3 linked regions of the Arabidopsis thaliana genome follow. The protein of the gene in region 3 interacts with the protein of the main gene of each other region in a pairwise test. Each region holds a gene or a part of one and is shown on either strand. Other genes may lie near its edges.

Evidence for each region.
Region 1: the proteins of AT1G34350 (region 3) and AT5G17210 interact in a protein complementation assay, tested with the Arabidopsis thaliana proteins (one large-scale study listed by BioGRID).
Region 2: the proteins of AT1G34350 (region 3) and UMAMIT25 interact in a protein complementation assay, tested with the Arabidopsis thaliana proteins (one large-scale study listed by BioGRID).

What each region holds. Positions count from the first base shown.
Region 1 is NC_003076.8:5,653,218-5,659,290, forward strand, and holds AT5G17210 (transmembrane protein, putative (DUF1218)), read left to right. Parts: upstream 1-3,130; 5' UTR 3,131-3,301; coding exon 3,302-3,397; exon of another isoform or gene 3,398-3,661; intron 3,662-4,125; coding exon 4,126-4,337; intron 4,338-4,431; coding exon 4,432-4,753; 3' UTR 4,754-4,976; downstream 4,977-6,073. Other genes in the region: AT5G17200 (Pectin lyase-like superfamily protein), read right to left, coding at 307-711, 819-927, 1,022-1,311, 1,415-1,573, 1,725-1,859, 1,952-2,119; GSTF12 (glutathione S-transferase phi 12), read left to right, coding at 5,311-5,457, 5,523-5,571, 5,657-6,073.
Region 2 is NC_003070.9:3,025,030-3,032,475, reverse strand, and holds UMAMIT25 (nodulin MtN21 /EamA-like transporter family protein), read left to right. Parts: upstream 1-2,926; 5' UTR 2,927-3,153; coding exon 3,154-3,332; intron 3,333-4,722; coding exon 4,723-4,785; intron 4,786-4,861; coding exon 4,862-4,978; intron 4,979-5,064; coding exon 5,065-5,317; intron 5,318-5,430; coding exon 5,431-5,589; intron 5,590-5,676; coding exon 5,677-5,828; intron 5,829-5,923; coding exon 5,924-6,125; 3' UTR 6,126-6,414; downstream 6,415-7,446. Other genes in the region: AT1G09390 (GDSL-like Lipase/Acylhydrolase superfamily protein), read right to left, coding at 1-89, 168-359, 957-1,212; AT1G09370 (Plant invertase/pectin methylesterase inhibitor superfamily protein), read right to left, coding at 7,051-7,446.
Region 3 is NC_003070.9:12,531,481-12,537,182, forward strand, and holds AT1G34350 (Tmem18), read left to right. Parts: upstream 1-2,945; 5' UTR 2,946-3,104; coding exon 3,105-3,245; intron 3,246-3,420; coding exon 3,421-3,601; intron 3,602-3,915; coding exon 3,916-4,064; intron 4,065-4,351; coding exon 4,352-4,447; 3' UTR 4,448-4,615; downstream 4,616-5,702. Other genes in the region: AT1G34340 (alpha/beta-Hydrolases superfamily protein), read left to right, coding at 1-15, 93-193, 268-357, 454-576, 802-879, 1,096-1,181, 1,300-1,348, 1,497-1,553 and 4 more; PS1 (forkhead-associated (FHA) domain-containing protein), read left to right, coding at 5,017-5,329, 5,448-5,689.

The sequences.
Region 1 (6,073 bases), on a different chromosome or scaffold from region 3:
TTCTTCTCCATAATCTCATTTTTTGCAGAGGTTAAAATCCCAACTTTGTTTTGATTCAAAGCAACCTCAGAGTTTCAGTCTTTCTTAGATGATATGACCCCAAAACCCAATTTTCTGCAGGATTTATTGCAATAGTAAAAGTAACAAACTGAAACATTTATTCAGCCAATAATAAGAACAAATTAGACGTTTTCTACTTTAAAAAAAAAACTCGAGGAAAAACGGTTCTCTTCTAAGAAAAAAATTGAGAAGACTCCATTTTCTTTCTTGGTTCTTGAAGGAAAGGATTTCACAAGAAAGGCATACTTAATGTTTCAGACAATCCACTTTTGAAGCAAATAAAGACCCATGAGCATTTTTGCAGGAAGAAAACAACTTGTGACCAAATGTCGCTGAAACCATATTCACATTGTCCATCACTATATCTGAGCATCCCAAGTCTGCATCGCAGTTCAATGTAATGTCTTGATCGCTTGCAGATGACCCACGGATTCTAGCGTAACGCACGTCAGTCACTTTCACGCCTTTCCCATTACCAGACGGAGTCCGTTGTTTTGCTGTTAAATGACAGTTCTGATAGCTACTAGATGACTTGCTTATTCCTCCGTTCGTACCTCCATTGTGGTAAGTCTGGTCTATGATAATAGGGTTCTCTGAGGCAACCATGTTGATATCCTCGAATGAGATTTTCCGAGCATATCCCGATCCGTTCTACAAAACATTCACGCCAACAAAAAAAAACAGATTTAGTTTGTGAAAATGCTGAATAAGACCAAGAACTAATGATGTATAATAAAAAAAGAAGATTAATGGACAACCTGGTATGTCTTGATTCGGACACCGTTCTGTGTTTTTGTAAAAGTGCAGTTCTTTACCCTCACTTCTTCAACAGTTTCGAAATCTCCAGTTACTCCAAGACTTCCTACGCTATAATATCAAATCCATACTATAAATGATTTAGCATGTACCTTGCTGTATATTATATGATGATTGTTTGTGAATCTGTGATTTTAGGAATCACCTGATACCGTGACCGGGGCCACAAAAAATGCCGGTTATGTTGATATGAGAGGAACCGCTATTAATGGCGATGCAGTCATCTCCAGTGGCAATCACTGAGTCATGTATGTGGACTCCTATACAGTTCGATATGTCAATACCATCCGTGTTTGGACTATCACCGGGTGCTGTCATCCTTAAACCCCTGACCTCGATGTTCTGTGAACAACTTAGACCTACATGGTTCCGAGGGCTGTTCAAATGTCGGAGATTAGATATCCTAAGACCATTACAGTTGTTGAAGTGCATTGCCTAAGAAAAGCAAGGAAGAAAAAGAAACATCATTAATAACTGAGAATAAATATTTGATCGAAGTTCATATTTATGGTTGTGAGGATCTTGCAAATGGACTTACGCAGGGGCGATTATTAACGTTGCCCCACCACAAAGAACCACGACCGTCGATGGTACCACCTCCGGTGACAACAAGACCATTGATACTGTCAAAACTAATCCATGTTGTGTATCTTCCCGCATACCAAGTGTAACCCGGTGCCACAAGATTACCTCTTATCTAATGTAAATAAATCACCAAATTATTTAAACATTGGTTCGAGTTATTGTCTACTCATAAGCTAAAATCGATCACTATTGAAATCATTCACATTAGGGCTGGATTTTCCAATATAATTTGAAACAAGAGAAAGAGACAAGTATATATATACCGATAAGGAGATGGTCGAAGACTTGCATGGACCGATGAATGTAAGAGGCTTAAGCATGAAGGTTTTCCCTTGAGGCACAAGAATCTTTCTATTGTGTCCTCCTTTGCATACAGCTTCCCATGCTTTAAGAAAAGCCTGAAATATATTGATACACATAACACATACATTAAAACAAAGGTTATACATACCACTTTGATACAAATAGTGATGATTCTATAAATAAACACCTTAGTATCATCAGTCTTTCCATCGCCAATAGCTCCGAAACTAGTGACACTTATGAATCCATTGCTTCCAAATCCGTTTTTAACCTTTAGAGATTCTTCTTCTAAGCAGAAACATAATTTGTTTATTTGAAACAAACATAACAAGACAAAGAACAACGAAGATTTCATTTTTGGACGACTCATATGCTTGACGATGAGAACGAATTTCGATGATAATACGTTTTCTATCTATATATATCTCTAAATGTATATATAGGTTTGTATAAAGAAAGGTGGTTAATTGAAAGATATTGCGTTTGATTTTGTGTTTCTATGGTAAGAGATTATCGCTAATCACTAATTTTGTGTGCTATAACATGGAAACTAATAATGGACTATAATTGAGATATTGAAATCTTTATAACTATGGAATATTCAAACTTATTGACGTATTTAACAAATCGCAAACGATATATTTTTATACCGTTTTGTTTAGCGATAAGAGTGAAAGTTTACTTATATGCTTGATTCTTTCTATTGCTTACATGCTTGATTCTAGGAATGAATTAATTATGGCTTATCTAAAGATAGAAAATAGATTCATCATTAACTTATGTCATAAGAGAGAAAGAGAGACCTATGATTGAATCATTTATATGATGAATATATCCAAGGCGGCACTAATCTTTTTTGATTCACAAGAATCTTTAGATTGATTAAACCAAAATGTAAATATGACGAAACCTCATAAGAATTTTATCAAATATAAGTCCATCTAATTTCTTTAATTAGATAAATAGTAAATTTGAAATGAATAAAGATAAATAATTCATGGACGAATAAAATACAAATGATAGAACAAAATTCTCATTTTCATTCTTTATATTTTTGGTCAAGAATATTGTCATTCTATTCATTTTTGAATTATAGTAAGAAACAGATAAAATGTGTTCGTCTTATAAATGATGAAACTCTTAAATAAAATAAAATCTATGTAACCAATAAGCTATTCTTATTTAGTTAAATGGAGGAAACTTTAAATAGATTAATTTTCTCTAAATAATTTCTTTGCATACCTCAGTAGCAAACCGGTCCGGTCGGATCTGAATTGAACAAATCAAACCAAAATCAGAAACCAAACCAAAACAGAGAAAATACATTTTATTGAAACTTGAAAGTACCATTACGCGTGGATCTATGTAATAAGGAGGAGAGAGTAGAGTACTTTGCCGACTAAAAGTGAGTGCGGTGTTTAATGGGTTTGTCACCAACTTTCCATTTTCTTACCAACGAAGAAGAAGCAGAAAAAAAGTAAACAAAGACTAAAAAAAAAAAGCCAGCATCTTCGGAGTTGGTGGGAGAGAGACAGAGATGGAGAGGAGAAAGATTGTGATGTGTGGTGTTTTATTTCTTCTTGGTTTATTATCAGCTGTTACTGCCTTCGTCGCTGAAGCTACTCGAATCAAGGTTTCTTCTTCAGCACTTTTTAGGGTTTCTGTTTTTTAGTGAAATTTGTGGTTTTTCTCATGATCTTTGGGTTATTACAGCCACAATGGTTTGTTGAAACTCTATCTAAAGGATTTTTGGGTTTTGTCTGCGTTTCTTTTTATGTGTCGATTTTGAAATTCATTGCCTGAAAATGCGTTTGAGATGAAAGCTTCAATCTTTGAGATGGGAGTTGAATAATAATTGGTGGGAAACTCGTTGGTTTGGGAATTTTTCAATGAAACAGTAATGGTCCCCATTCACGGTGGTTTTTGTATAGAAGAACTTGTTGATTTCAAATTTGGAAGATCTTTGAGAAGTTTAATAGTAATTTTTTTTGTAGAGAGACTGTGTGGTAAAGAGTTGTTTTCTGGTGTGTTTTGGTAATTGCATATGTATTGATATGTTTAATGTCAGATTCCAATTCAACTAAGTCTCATTCACAAGCTTTTCACAATTCACATATGTGTTTTTGGATTTATTGAACCAAAGTTATAGCCTTTCTTAATGGGGTTTATGTATTGGTCGATTCGGTTGAATCATCTTTTTTAGAATCAATTAGTCATATAGAATTTGCAGGGTATGTAGAATCAGTTTTATTCTCTTGAACTACTCTGTCTATTAAGAAACTTTCTTGGTGTGTATTTGTGCAATGTTTCAAACTTTTTCTGAAGGTTTTGTTTTTCATTTTTATCTTAAAATCGATGCAGAGATCTCAGGTCACGGTTACCGTTTCGGATTCAATCACAAAATGCACTTATCCAAGAAGTCCAGCTTTCAATCTCGGCTTCACTTCAGCTCTCTTTCTGATGATGGCTCAGATAATAGTCAGTGTCTCAAGCGGTTGTTTCTGTTGTAGAAAAGGTCCTGCTCCTTCAAGGTCTAATTGGATTATCTCCTTAATCTGCTTTGTTGTTTCCTGGTAATTCTCATCATTTCTAATCCTTTTCTTGCTTCAAGTTTCCTACTTATAATTTGCTTACAACTAGTGAGTGAGTGATTTCGCGTTACTATAGGTTCACTTTTGTAATAGCTTTCCTCGTGCTGCTTTCTGGAGCTGCACTCAACGATGAACACACCGAGGAATCAATGAATGCTGGTACCTACTTTTGCTACATAGTGAAACCAGGCGTTTTCTCTACCGGTGCTGTGCTTTCGCTTGTTACTATTGCCCTTGGGATTGTCTACTATTTATGTTTGACTTCAAATAAGCAAATTGTTGCTGCCACAACGACCCAAGGAACAGGAATAGCAATGGGGCAGCCTCAGATTCCAGAGAGAGTAGAAGATCCTGTTTTTGTTCATGAGGATACTTACATGAGAAGACAGTTCACTTAAAAACAGACAAAGCTTGCTTGTAAAGCACGTTAGGTTTAGTAGAAGATTTAGACAAAATGATTAACGGATATGTGTTTGATTAAGAGTATTGAAACTTTGTAATGATTGTTATTCTTGATTGAAGTAGAAATCTTTGAGAACCCCAAAAACGTCACTTAGTTTTGTAGTTTTTTTCTCTGAATCTTTCTTATTTATTATGCAAGTCAAAAGTGGTTGTTGGGAAGAGAAGTGTTCGTCTCATTTACAACAAAAATTCGATAGCGATATATAGTAATCGAAATTTTATTCCCAAACAAGGGAACTTTGTTATTGATAGTTGGAACTAAAAGTTTGTAGAGAAATTTCAATGATACATATCCACCGTTAGAGGAACAACCACCACATGTTCTACCCAACCCTCACAACAACCAGTTTCTTCAAATCTTGAGTCTAATAAAATGCCAACACATCTACTCTCATTTCTTCTCATTTATAAACCAGTTTGATAGACAAGATATTAATAAGTGCATATAGTAAAATCTTTCTTATTCGTAACAAAGTTATTGTAAACTTATAGAATGGTTGTGAAACTATATGGACAGGTAACAGCAGCTTGTCCACAAAGAGTCTTGCTTTGTTTTCTCGAGAAAGGAATTGAATTTGAGATTATTCATATCGATCTTGATACATTTGAGCAAAAAAAACCAGAACATCTTCTTCGTCAGGTAAAAAAAACAAATTTCTTAAACTTAAAACATAAATATATTATAATTATTGTTTTCATGTGTAGCCATTTGGTCAAGTTCCAGCCATAGAAGATGGAGATTTCAAGCTTTTTGGTAACATCCTAATAACAACATTTTATAAACATTCTTCTATCATTTTCTTTATAGTGTTTTGAAATTTGGCTCTTTATCTTCTAAGAATCACGAGCCATCGCGAGATACTACGCTACCAAGTTCGCGGACCAAGGCACGAACCTTTTGGGCAAGTCTCTAGAGCACCGAGCCATCGTGGACCAGTGGGCTGACGTGGAGACCTATTACTTCAACGTTCTGGCCCAACCCCTCGTGATTAACCTAATCATCAAGCCTAGGTTAGGCGAGAAATGTGACGTCGTTTTGGTCGAGGATCTCAAAGTGAAGCTAGGAGTGGTCTTGGACATATACAATAACCGGCTTTCTTCGAACCGGTTTTTGGCTGGTGAAGAATTCACTATGGCTGATTTGACGCACATGCCGGCGATGGGGTACTTGATGAGTATAACCGATATAAACCAGATGGTTAAGGCTCGGGGTAGTTTTAACCGGTGGTGGGAAGAGATTTCGGATAGACCGTCTT
Region 2 (7,446 bases), 9.5 Mb from region 3:
TGAATCCGCAATATCATTCTGTCCGATATCGATCATGTACAATGCGTTTCTGAATCCACTTTCGCCTATCATCATCTCTTTCAAAGGATCTGCAAAACATAATGCAAGGGTCCTTTAGTGAATTACCTATTTTTTTGCTAAAGAGTTAATTACGATCAGATAGATACCTGAAATAGAAGCAAGCTCGAGTGCTCGGGATTTGAAATGGAGGAACTGCATGAGCTGAATGTTGAGAGCAAAAGGAACATATCTGGGAAGAGTGGAAGATCCAACAATTGCGAAATTGGCACCGTTTTGGAACTTTGATCCAACCAATGAGTCTAAGTATGGGTTCAATAGACTTGTATTCAAACTCTGGCCTGCCAATATGTCAGAAAAGAATGGAATATTAGATTCATATTTACTTTTGAAGTTAGATATAGAAGTTGCATTTCAACTTTACCAACCACCAAAATTTAACTTGAATCTGCATATCGTTAGTAACAAAATATTTTCATGCATTATAGTATATAAATGACTAAAATATGAAACCTTATAACATGTGATTTGGACAAAACAGAACGCATACTTAACATTGATACCAAAAAAAAAAAAAAAAAACAGAACGCATCTTTTACTATACGGCGTTGTTTGACTCTTTAGTCACGCAATCTAATGTAACGAGTGGGTTCACGCGCCGAATCTACATGGTGGCACCCACTTTTGATTGTGATATCTTCCCATGTTGGTAAGTGGGACCCACTTTTCTTTGGATTAGATTTTCATCATTTCAACGAGTGAATTGTGTCGTTTTGTGGCATCACGCAACGCGATCACCGTCATCAATTATTAGCCGTTGATTAAGGTTTACATCTATTCCATCGGACGGTTGTCACGACTTCATTGCACTTACCTCTAATCTCCACCGTCTAAATAATTAACTAGAGTTAAAAAAAGTCAAGAGAAAGTTGACTTACAAAGGAAATCGATGACGAGGCGTCCGTCGGATAATCGGCCGGTGGATCTCTGGAAAAACGAACGACCGTTAGGAAGACCAATGCTGTATCCGAGTCCGGCGACGAGTCCACCCGTGTCGGAGTTGGAATCGCCAAAGTTAAAAATCACCGGCGGAACCTGACATCCTCCGGCCACTGCCAAGTTTTGTCGGAGAATGAGGATAAACGGAAGGAGAACAAGAAGGAAAGAGTGGGAGTGAAGAGAGAGAGTAGCCATTGTAACTTGCTAGTAGAGATTTGATCAAGATAGAGTGAAGATCGAAAGCTTTGTAATAAATTGTAATAATGGTAAGCCTTAAGTGTGTGGGCCTTATTTCTCTTATTTTAAGCTATAGTGTGTGAGTGTGATTCTTTAGTGAATTTAAAAACAAAGCCTAAGACTTTGTATGTTGGTGGTTGACAGTGACAGACACATAACTCAAGCTTACTGTTGGCTCCAGCTCCAATGTAGATGCTAATTGTTCATACATAAATATGCATATGCATCCTAAAGTATATATCCAAAACGAATGTACAATGGAATTTTCCTTTTGTACGTAACAACGAAAAGATAAGATCGAAAAAATATGCGGCGAAAATTTACGTTGGAACTTGGAAGCCAAAGAGGACGCGGAAATTAATCATCTGGACGCCAACGCTAGCTTGTTTGACTTATGCAAATGGAGCATTACTCATAATTTATTCATCTTCAACTCCAAAAGCATTTCGTATAAAAATTAACCACTGATATCCAGCAAAATGTTAAGCATCACTTACTTTCTCAAATTTCAGCCAACAAAAAAGTTTAACGTGTTTGGTATACCTATGTGCTGACTACAGACCAATGTTTTATCTCTATCCATATGAAATGACATTCTTGCTCAAGGAAGTCACTGTACACCTAAGGAAAGGCCTTTTAAGAATAAATGAGGCCTTTTAAGACCAATAATTGGCCCAACAATATATGTTGTTTTGTATATGAGATTTTCTTATATTATACAAGTTTTCATTATGCATTTTACTTTAGTTTACTAAAGTTTTATATATAAATCATTATGTTTCAGTATAGTTTTTAATTAAAAATTAATTAGTTTTCTGAAAATTATACTAGCCACTCTAGTTATATCCTACTTTTTAATGATATAAATTCCAGTTATTTTCAAAGATATTCTTAAATTACGTATGTCCAACCCATTGTGTAAATGATTACCTAGTTCATACATTAAAAATATATAGTATATATACAGTATGCAGTCGAACTGAAACATGTAATAATATAATCATGAATTTAATTATATATTAAATTTTAGAAATAATTAGATGCATACATTTTGCGGATACTTACCTAGTTATATTTATATTGCATAAGATGCATGCCATTCAATATATATTCGATAATCCATGCCCAACTTCCAACCCTTTTGGGATATAAATAGTTAATTTACCATTTATGATATATATTACACACACAAAAGTTTGACAAAAAGCAAGAGTGATATAATGAAAATCAATTCAAAATACGTAAGATAATACTAATTCGATATTGTTAATCAAGCGATAAACCAAGCCCTTGGTTTAATATCACAGAAACGAGTTTTAGCAAAGGCAAATTGATTGCTTGAAGCTTGAGAAAGACATTCACAAGCTCCACCAAACCCATGAAAAAACGGAAACCAAAAAAATGGATTAAAACGAGGAAAATAAGTTAGATTTTTTTTTGACAAAACGCCAATTTGGATTGTATTAGTAATCAGCAAGGAGAAAATTTAAATAAATTGCCAAAAATATCAAATGATTCATATCACCTATTGTTTCGTGTTCTTATGCCCTAAAGAGAGTCCAAGTGTTACAAGCAAACTTCATTCTCGAACCGTTTCTCACCTTTCTGTTTAAAACATCTCTCTCTATATATATGTATGTATATAAATAAATATATGTATGTGCATGTATATATAAATGTGTGTATATATACATCTTTGGCTATAAATATAAGGTCGAACCAAAATAAAATATAGATTTGGGGAAACTAATAAATGATATAGAGAATCCACCTCTCTCCCTTATTTTTTTTTCTTGGTTTCTTGACCTATTATTATTGATTAGTAATAGTGAGAGAGGCATATTTTGGAGATACACATAAACACATAAATTGGAAGAATAAAATAAAAGAGAGTGAGAGATGGCTAAATCAGATATGTTGCCGTTCTTGGCGATGGTGTTGGTGCAAATCGGCTACGCAGGCATGAACATTACGTCGAAGATGGCTATGGAGGCCGGTATGAAGCCACTCATCCTGGTCGCTTATCGTCAGATATTTGCCACTATCGCCACTTTTCCGGTCGCATTTTTTCTCGAACGGTAAAAAAAAAACCATACTAATATCTGCCCATATACATCTTATTTGATCAACTAACGATTTTAGACATGTATGAATTACACGATTAAAACAATTGCATCGATGAAATGTTGAATTTGTTTTAATTCTTGAATAAAGCATATGGGTGTTTTTATTACTTTTTTGGGGTTAAAAGTAATTAGGTTTTAGGTGGTGAGTCTATGTTTTACAAAGATCAGCAAGAAATGCTAAACTTTGATTAGCTAAATTTTTCTTTTAGCATTGTTTTTTTGTGTTTTCAAGTTTGTCTTAACTGCGAAAGTAGAAAATGATGAAATCATATTCATCAACATAAACGTCAAAATGGTGAGTGCGTATATTAAAATATTAACGACGAAAAACCATTTACTAAATGGCTTTGTGAGTCTCATGTAGAACGTTTTTACGTCTTTGAACTTTCTTGCGTCACCTAAATTTATTACTTTCCAAAAGTTTCAAAAATCAAGCTTTTTAATTTATTGACATAGAAGTACTGCATGCTTAAAGTCTTTTTTTTTTGTGGTCAAGATTTTTTTTGATATATGTTAATAACTTAATTCATCAGTACTATACGTTGAATAGATTTAAATTCATTAATTTACTTCTTATTATTTTACAATTTTGGCAACAAATGAACCTCCATTTAGAAGACTAAAAATTAAAAACACTAAACTAATAATTAAGAAAAAAAGTTTAGCACGACATCGTCTTATTTTCCGGAGATTACGATAGAATACGCATATAATGGTATATGGTAAGCTATAAGTTTCTTGATGAATAATATTAATTCAGAATGTGAAGAAAAATGTGGTAAAGAAAAAAAAGACAAAAAAGTGGTAAAGTGACGCTGATTAATTAGTTGAAATGTAGTAGACACTAGCTTTTTTCTTTTGTTTATTGGGATTAGTATTTACCGTTATTTTTTCATAATCATGGTACCGTCAATGATTTTGGTGGTATGTGGAAACCTAAGTAGTTACATTATCATTAATTCCGTTTTCCGAGAGAGAAACAAATGAGAAATGTGACGCAGTCTCACACAATCCACGCGTCACGTTTCTTTCTTAAACCGAAGCACATGATGACAAACAAATCATGATGCCAGGTGAGTTAAGCGTCGTCAGGTGCCGTGCCATCTTCATTTGCCAAGACACGTGCTTCTTCAATTACGTTTTTTACTCTGTTTCTCCACTCTAATCTCTTCATATGATATGAGAAGTGAATTTGATTGTTTTCTTGAGTCTCGGTTTAACTTAACCGGGTGGTTTTAGGATTAGTTGCATGATTACATTCAATGAGAAATGCTTTAATTGATTAATAATGATTAGTGGACTAATGAAAACATAAATTTTTCATACACGGTTTCTTGTGCAGGAAGACAAGACCGAAGATCACACTTAGGATTCTTGTCCAAGTCTTCTTCTGCTCCATTACTGGGTATCTTACATACACTTTACCTACTAATTGCAATCTTACTTTGTTATAAAGCGATTTACATTGATTTTCTTTGCAGTGCGACTGGAAACCAAGTGCTATATTTCGTAGGACTTCAGAATTCATCTCCGACCATTGCTTGTGCCTTAACTAATCTCTTACCAGCGGTCACTTTCCTCCTCGCCGCAATATTCAGGTTATATGAAATTAATCTTAATTAAGTTTCCTTCAGACAATACTCGTTTATGATTATTGCTTAACACAAGACTTTTTTCTTTTCAGACAAGAAACCGTGGGGATCAAGAAGGCATCAGGACAAGCCAAAGTGATAGGGACGCTAGTATGTGTGATCGGAGCCATGGTTCTCTCCTTCTACCATGGTCACACCATCGGCATTGGAGAATCCAAGATCCATTGGGCCTACGCTGAAAACATCACGAAACATGGTTCCAGTTCTGGCCATTCTAATTTCTTCTTGGGACCTTTTCTTATTATGGCTGCTGCCGTTTCTTGGGCCGCTTGGTTCATTATCCAGGTAACTTAATTACTTAATTAAAAAAAAATGTAGCTTCAAACAATTTGAACCCACATAATGGAAAATGAAACTAAATTCTCATTTGGTTATGATAAATATTATTTTGGTTACAGACGAAGATGAGTGAAACATTTGCAGCACCGTACACGAGCACACTACTAATGTGTTTGATGGGAAGTATCCAATGTGGAGCCATTGCTTTGATCTCCGATCATACAATCTCTGATTGGTCTCTCAGCTCTCCTCTCCGCTTCATATCCGCCCTTTATGCCGTAAGTCCACATACATATACTATGATCATTAGATAACAATCTTAAGCTAAAAATATATGACACTAGTATAAAACACGGATCATGCAGGGAGTGGTGGCGTCTGCGTTAGCTTTCTGCCTAATGTCATGGGCTATGCAGAGGAAAGGTCCTCTGTACGTCTCTGTTTTCAGCCCTTTACTTCTCGTAGTTGTCGCCATTTTCAGCTGGGCTCTTCTTGAAGAGAAACTCTACACCGGCACGTATGTTTCTATACATCTTTATCTATCTCTCTGTGTGTTTAAACATTATATAAACGAGATGATGATGATGAATTTATATGATATATGTATATTAGGTTTATGGGATCAGCACTTGTGGTTATTGGTCTCTATGGCGTATTGTGGGGGAAAGACAGAGAGGTGAGTGAGAAGGAAGAAGAAAGGGAGAAGGTGAAACAACAAAACCATAAAGTCAAGAGTGAAAGTAATGAAGATATTGAATCGAGATTACCGGTAGCAAGTAGTGGAAATGGTTCCACAAGGTCTACATCGCCTTAAAATGGTGATTGCTTCTTCATCATATATAAGTATGAGCTATGGAAGAACCTTTTGGGATTTCTTGTTATCTAAGTTACTGCAACTAAATTGGATTTTCGGAGTGTTTAATTTTGTATCCCATTTTGAGGCTAATGATGGAGTGTTGATTTGTGTGTTCATCCTATGGACAACAAATATCACCTGTTTGATCTCTATATATATTCAGTATTCTTAATCTTCATCGTTTCCATTATCTTATTTTCTTTCTAATAACCTATTTCCTTTATCCCCAAAACAAATCAAATCATAGTCTTCAAGTAATTTATTTTATGTTTTGTCAGAGGGTGAAAGTTATTACAGACCTTCAATATTCATTTAGACCCAAAATGTAAAATAGTGCCTTGAAACAGAGGGTTTCGGTTCGTGCAAGTCAATTACAATTGGCTGTAACGGTTTAATCCTGGTTTAGTAACTCAAGTGTTATATACGAATCAAAACAGAGTCGCTGTTCTGTTTTGTTAATCTTCTTCGTCATTCTTGATTACGAGTTGCAAGGTTTATCTCGGTTCATGTACCTGTAATCGATAGATATAGTAGATTTGATACAGAACATGGAGAATCACATGCGATTTAGTTAGACTTAATTGTCAAAGACAAACACTATGGACATTTATTAGTATTATTGACCACCTGATTTTGCCATAAGGTCATAATTCATAGAAGCAAAAACAGAATTAGATCTTACAGAAAAAGATATATTATATTATATCCCAAGTGTTTATTTTTATCCTTATCAAGTTCAGTTCAATTCAACCTCAGCATCAGCATCGCCATTAAAAACATATATGCATATAGAGAATTGCAATTAAGAAGATTCTGTAACCATTATTAATTAGAATATTTCTGGAAACATTTGCTACTATGTCATGATTCAACAACAATCAGATTATGAAGAAACCATATGACTAACAATCTGTTCCATGGATAGTAAGATCTTCGTCTGTCTGTTTTTCTCAATCAACGGATTGATCTGATAACCGAGCACATTGAAATCTGTCTTACAGATATCAACAGCCATAGAAACTTTCTTTTCGATATTGACAATCTTACTGTAGTAAGCTTGCTTGAAGAAGGTTACAGCTTTCGTGAACGCCGAGTTCACAATGGCGTAAGCTTCGGCGCACGCTTGAAGATCAGGCCTCTCGTCTCCAGCATTCCTGAGAAGCGTGCTGATGAAGAAATAAGTGTTGGCCGCGAACCTTTCAGCTTCGCTTACTGTCACGTTCATGATTTCTTTGTTACTTGCGGGAAAAGTATTCAGGTTCTTGATCAAGAGACTACT
Region 3 (5,702 bases):
TTACGAATTCTGATGGTAAGATTTTAGTGACTGATTTTACTACCAATATGGTTGGTTTTGGATGGATATTTGAATCTGTTTGATTTGTGTAGTTCTTGATGGTTCTCTTCACAATAAGAGTGAAATTACAAAAGAAGATACAACGCCTATAGCTGTTGTTATTCCAGGGTTAACTAGTGATTCTTCATCTGCAGTAAGTTTAGTTTTAAATCACTTATCTGTTCTTTAATGGCTAATTGACTTTATATTGGTGATTTTTTGTTGTAGTATTTAAAGCATCTTGCTTACGACACTGCAAAAACAGGTTGGAATGTTGTTATTAGCAACCATAGAGGATTGGGAGGAGTTTCTGTTACTGTGAGTTCGCTAGTTTTATGAATCTACGAAAAGTTGTGATTACTTATATACATATATTCTTTTATGTAAGTGTTGTTTTGTGGCAAATGTATGTAGTCAGATTGCTTCTATAATGCTGGATGGACAGATGATATAAGGGTAGTTCTTGATTATCTTCAACACAAATACCCGAGGGCTCCTCTCTTTGCTATTGGCACTAGCATTGGAGCAAATGTTCTGGTACTAAATCAGGAACCGCAGTGTTTTACTTAGCTTTGAATGATGTTTAAGTGTGAAGATTTGCTTTGTTTTTCATGGACTTTTTGTTACATATTGCTCAGTTGGCTGCACCATATGCTACATTCAAAAAAACGATTTCAAGCTAAAAGAGTAGATTGATTATATATGTTTTTCAAATACCATTGATATGCGTGAGGAGGTTCCTGAATTTATCTTATGCTTCAGGTAAAATACCTTGGGGAAGAGGGTGAAAAGACTCCTCTGAGAGGTGCTGTTGCTATCTGCTCTCCATGGGACCTCTTGGTGAGCTATTTTTCATAACTGTCTTGTTCTTTGTATATTGATTCGTGTCTGAAGTTGTCTCTAATAACTTGACGAGAAATTATGACTTCCTTAATTTTCTTCATTGGGTTCTGATTTCAGACCTTTGAACTTGTAAATAGTACTAAGGGTTTTGTTTGATACAAGTGGATGCTTGATACGTTATGCTTTTTCTTTTCCTTTTCTCCTCCCAACAAGATTGGTGACAGGTTTATCTGTCGGACTTTGAAACAAAAGCTCTATGACAAAGCTCTCACCATCGGACTCCAAGGTTATGCCCAATTGTATGTCCACCAAGAACTGCCTAGATTTTGAGTTTGTAAGATGGGCTGAGAGGAGATATTTCCGTTTTACTGCTTTGAGAAGATCAGGTTTCAGTTATAACTTTTGGTTTCATTGCAGGCATGAACCTCAGTTTTTACGGCTTGCTAATTGGGAAGGCATCAAAAAGGTTAGTAGGTTAATTAACCACAGGCCCATAAGTTATACAGTCTACTTGGTAGATGCATTGAAACAAGCAGAGTTCTTAAGCAAATAACTTACATATTTCTTTCCCTATCGACGTTGTCTGTTGTTGTCCGTTGTTTTTACTTCATCAGTCACGTTCCATCCGAGATTTTGACAACCATGCTACCTGTCTAGTTGGAAAATTCGAGGTATTAGTTCTCCTCCATATTATCTTAACTTCTGATGTTAGTTTTCCACCGCAATTGGCTTTGTAATTCATATATTCATCTTTGCAATGCTCTTCATAATCACCATTAAGTTCTCTGTTGATTTAATATAAGTACAACGGGTTGCACCTTTATGCAGACTGTGGATACGTATTACCGAAAATCGAGCAGCACTCAATACGTAGGAAATGTGGCGGTGCCACTACTCTGTATAAGTGCTCTAGATGATCCATTATGCACAAAGGAAGCTATTCCCTGGGACGAATGCAGGTAAGACGCTATCTATCTCTTTTTAAATCTTAAATCCTGTTACAGCGATTAACATGAAGTTTCTATTGAAAAGGGCCAACAAAAACATTGTCTTGGCTACAACAAATCACGGGGGACATCTAGCGTTCTTCGAAGGATTAACTGGATCTAGCTTATGGTTGGTATATTTCAGATTGTAACTAAGTAATAATAGTACTTCCTATTTTGACTGCCTATATATGTTGTTGTGTATAGGTGGGTTCGAGCCACCAACGAGTTTCTTGGCGTCCTTAGCTGCAGTCCTTATATGCATATACAGAAAGTAAGTTTCCGTTTATTAGAATTGCAGTTTAGATAATTTAACTCTTCTCTCTATTTCTTTCTTCCTAAGATTATCAATTTTTTTGCAGATTGTAGATAAAAGAAGCTCAGGGTCAGGGAAACAAGAGCCATCGATAAACCAAGGCCCGTACCTAAACATTGCAGAAGACGGGTTGGTGGCAGCAGTCAAATATGAGCAAGACACCAATAAGACCACACTGAAGCAGAGAGGGCGAAAGCCTGAGGAAGATGTAACAAAGAAAAGCTTTAAAGAGCTGTGTAGGCAGACAAAACAGTCGGTATGGTGGCTTGGTTACATAGGCATGGTTACAAGTTTCCCTTTACTTGGGATGCTCCTAAACTACATCTTCCGTAAGAAGCAACGACCCACAACAACATCCACATCCTGAAGTTGCTTTCTTTCTCAACATCTCCATTCACTCATTCTTCTATCTGTTAACCTATTATCGATTATTGAGAATGTTAATAATCATCTAATTTTTTTTTATCATAAGCATAGTAATTATGTAGAGTTTTCATGAAGGAAAGGAGTGGAATCGCTCAAACTCATTTTTTGTCTTATTATTTCGGAGAATCCTTTCATTAAAACTGACTTCGATCGAAGATCAAATCATTTGGTTTGAGTATAAGTTTAGATGTTCCTGGAAAATCATATTACTCTGAATAATCCAAAATATTAGTATGTTATCTCAGTGGCATTACCGTTAAAATATGAAACTATAAGGGTATTCTGGGAAGTTGGTGATTACATTTTTTTCTTTTCCTGGCAACTTCGAGAGCTTTTAAGCGCAGAAGAAACTCGTTAAAAATCTTGGCGAGAAAAGTTGAGAACTGGAATCGAAGAAGCGATAGGGTTTTGGTTACTTGGAGTGTGAGTATTTTAGTTACCACCGCTTGCAATTTCAAATTGGTTTCTTTTTTCCGGTGACATTTAGTAAGACAATGGAAGAAATAAGATCGGCGATGGAGAAGCAAGTGGATCTCGTAGCGGATCTGGTTGAGAAACTCTCCGGAGAGCTCCGAACGGGGTTTCAACCTGCTTACGATAATTTCTTGGGGTTTTTCCACGCCATTGATTGGAAGGTAATGAGAATCTTTCTTCGTATTGCATCATTTGGTCTTGAGGAATTTAGAATCACAAGTCTAGATAAATTCTCGGTATTTGTAGAATTTCATTTGAATTCTGTGAGAATTTGAGATTCCATAAACTATACTCATATACATTGGTTTTTTCTCATCTGGCATTTTTTGGTTACAGGAACCTTGGATTATGGGTTTAATGGCGTTTCATGCTTTGTTGTTACTAGTGACTCTTCTTTCTAGAAGGCATCTCAACTTCCATATGTTCCTCTTCTTATTGGCTTGTAAGTTCCCTTTGAAACTGTCTATATATATATTGTACAAGAAATCTCTTCGATCTAATGATCTCACTAGTCTAGGTTGTGGCATTCATAGTGGATCAAGTGTTTGAGAAGCTAGTACTGACATGTTTTACTTCACTCTAGCTTATGATTGAATGCACTAGGCTTTGTTTTCTTTGTTTAGTACAATAGGATTATCGGATCATCGATGTTTGGTAAAACGAAAATATGATATTCATTTGTCTACTCAATAGCTGTGTTAGTTTAGATTATGAACTTAGTGATTGGCATATTTCTTTGCGATATTTTGTGAGTCGTCACTGCATCAATTAGAGTTTTTTCTTTTCTTAGTACACGTTATTGAGACTGATGATGTGACAAAAAATTTGCAGTGGCTGGGGTATACTTTGCAGAGAATCTCAACCGGGAGTTGAGGAAAAACTGGAAGAGCTTCTCAACTCAAAACTACTTTGACTCGAACGGAGTCTTCCTATCGACTCTCTGGTCTGGACCACTTTTGGTCATTGCAATGATAATCCTGGTAATGTGTTCAGCAATCTTTCCCTTTCTTCTCTGCATTAATATATTAGAATCTACTTGCTAGCTCTTAATAAATTGTTCCCAAGTAAAACATACTTTGATTGAGCAGTCATATTAACTGAGAAATCGAGGATATGTTTCGTGTTTGATTTGGTTTTAACTCTTAAGAGTATTTGTAGTCCTTAACTCAAACCATAGTACCATACTGATCCATGTCTTGTTTAGGATTTTAACGAACTATGTGTAGTGAATGTGGAAAATCTGATGGAGGTGTTGTGTTTTTGACAGATAAACACACTCTTTTCGCTTTGCTACTTAATCGTAAAGTGGAAAAGAGCTGAGCTCAGGCATCGCGCAAGGCTTGCTCATACCAAGGAGGAATGATCCCACTTTTTTTAATCTCACATTTATGTATACTCTCACACAATGCATCAAAACTGTTTTGAGTTTTTTAGTAGAAGCTGCTCTTTTATGTATTTCGTTTTCAATTGAATCGAATTGTATCAAACCGAACCAAACCAAATTATTCTACTTCGGTCTGTTATGGTTAAAGTTTTGAAACCCCGAATTGAATGATTTGGCATCAATTTCTAGGCATGAAAAAATTGTAGAAAAGCACATACATAAATAATCGATGACCATGTCCATACCAAACAAAAAATGAAATGAAAAATTCATGTGTTTAGTGTTTAACCGACCTAAATTTGAATTAATTAAGGGTTTAATTTGGTTATTAAAATTTGAAATTGTCGTAATAAGAGATGATGCCACAATTAGCCGTTACGAGTAAATAGAGAGAGAGAGGTCGTCGGATTCAACAACGGACTCTTTTTCAAAATCAGAAGGAGATAGAGAGAGAAAGAGAGAAACACTCTCTAAATCTTCTTCTTCTTCATCTCTTTCGTTTTCCATTTTCGAAAATCTCTCAATCGTTCGTTCTTACAGACTTATTCATGGAGGTCAAGGAAGAGAAACTGATGGAGGAGAAGCAACGATTGCCGGAGAAGACGATCCCTGTGTTCACCGTTCTGAAAAACGGCGCTATTCTCAAGAATATCTTCGTTGTGAACAGTCGCGATTTCTCGTCGCCGGAGAGAAACGGTTCCACTGTAAGCGATGATGACGGTGAAGTAGAAGAGATTCTCGTCGTCGGTCGTCATCCAGATTGTGATATTCTTCTTACGCACCCTAGCATTAGCAGATTCCACTTAGAAATCCGCTCGATCTCTTCTCGTCAGAAACTCTTCGTCACGGATCTATCCTCTGGTATGAATCATCTCTAACTCATGTTTATATTCCTCTCGCGAGATTGTTGTTACTGTGGAATTGGATCTCGATTATATGTGTTTCTGATTGTTGATTGGATTGTGTTTTTTCGATTTAGTGCATGGGACTTGGGTTAGGGATCTTAGAATCGAGCCACATGGTTGTGTTGAGGTTGAAGAAGGTGATACGATTAGGATTGGTGGTTCAACAAGGATCTATAGGCTTCACTGGATTCCGTTGAGCCGTGCGTATGATTTAGACAATCCGTTTGTTTCACCACTTGATGCGTCTACGGTGTTGGAGCAAGAAGAAGAGAATAGAATGCTTGAAGCAGAAAATCTAGAGGTAGCACAACATCAGGTTCGATCTTTGA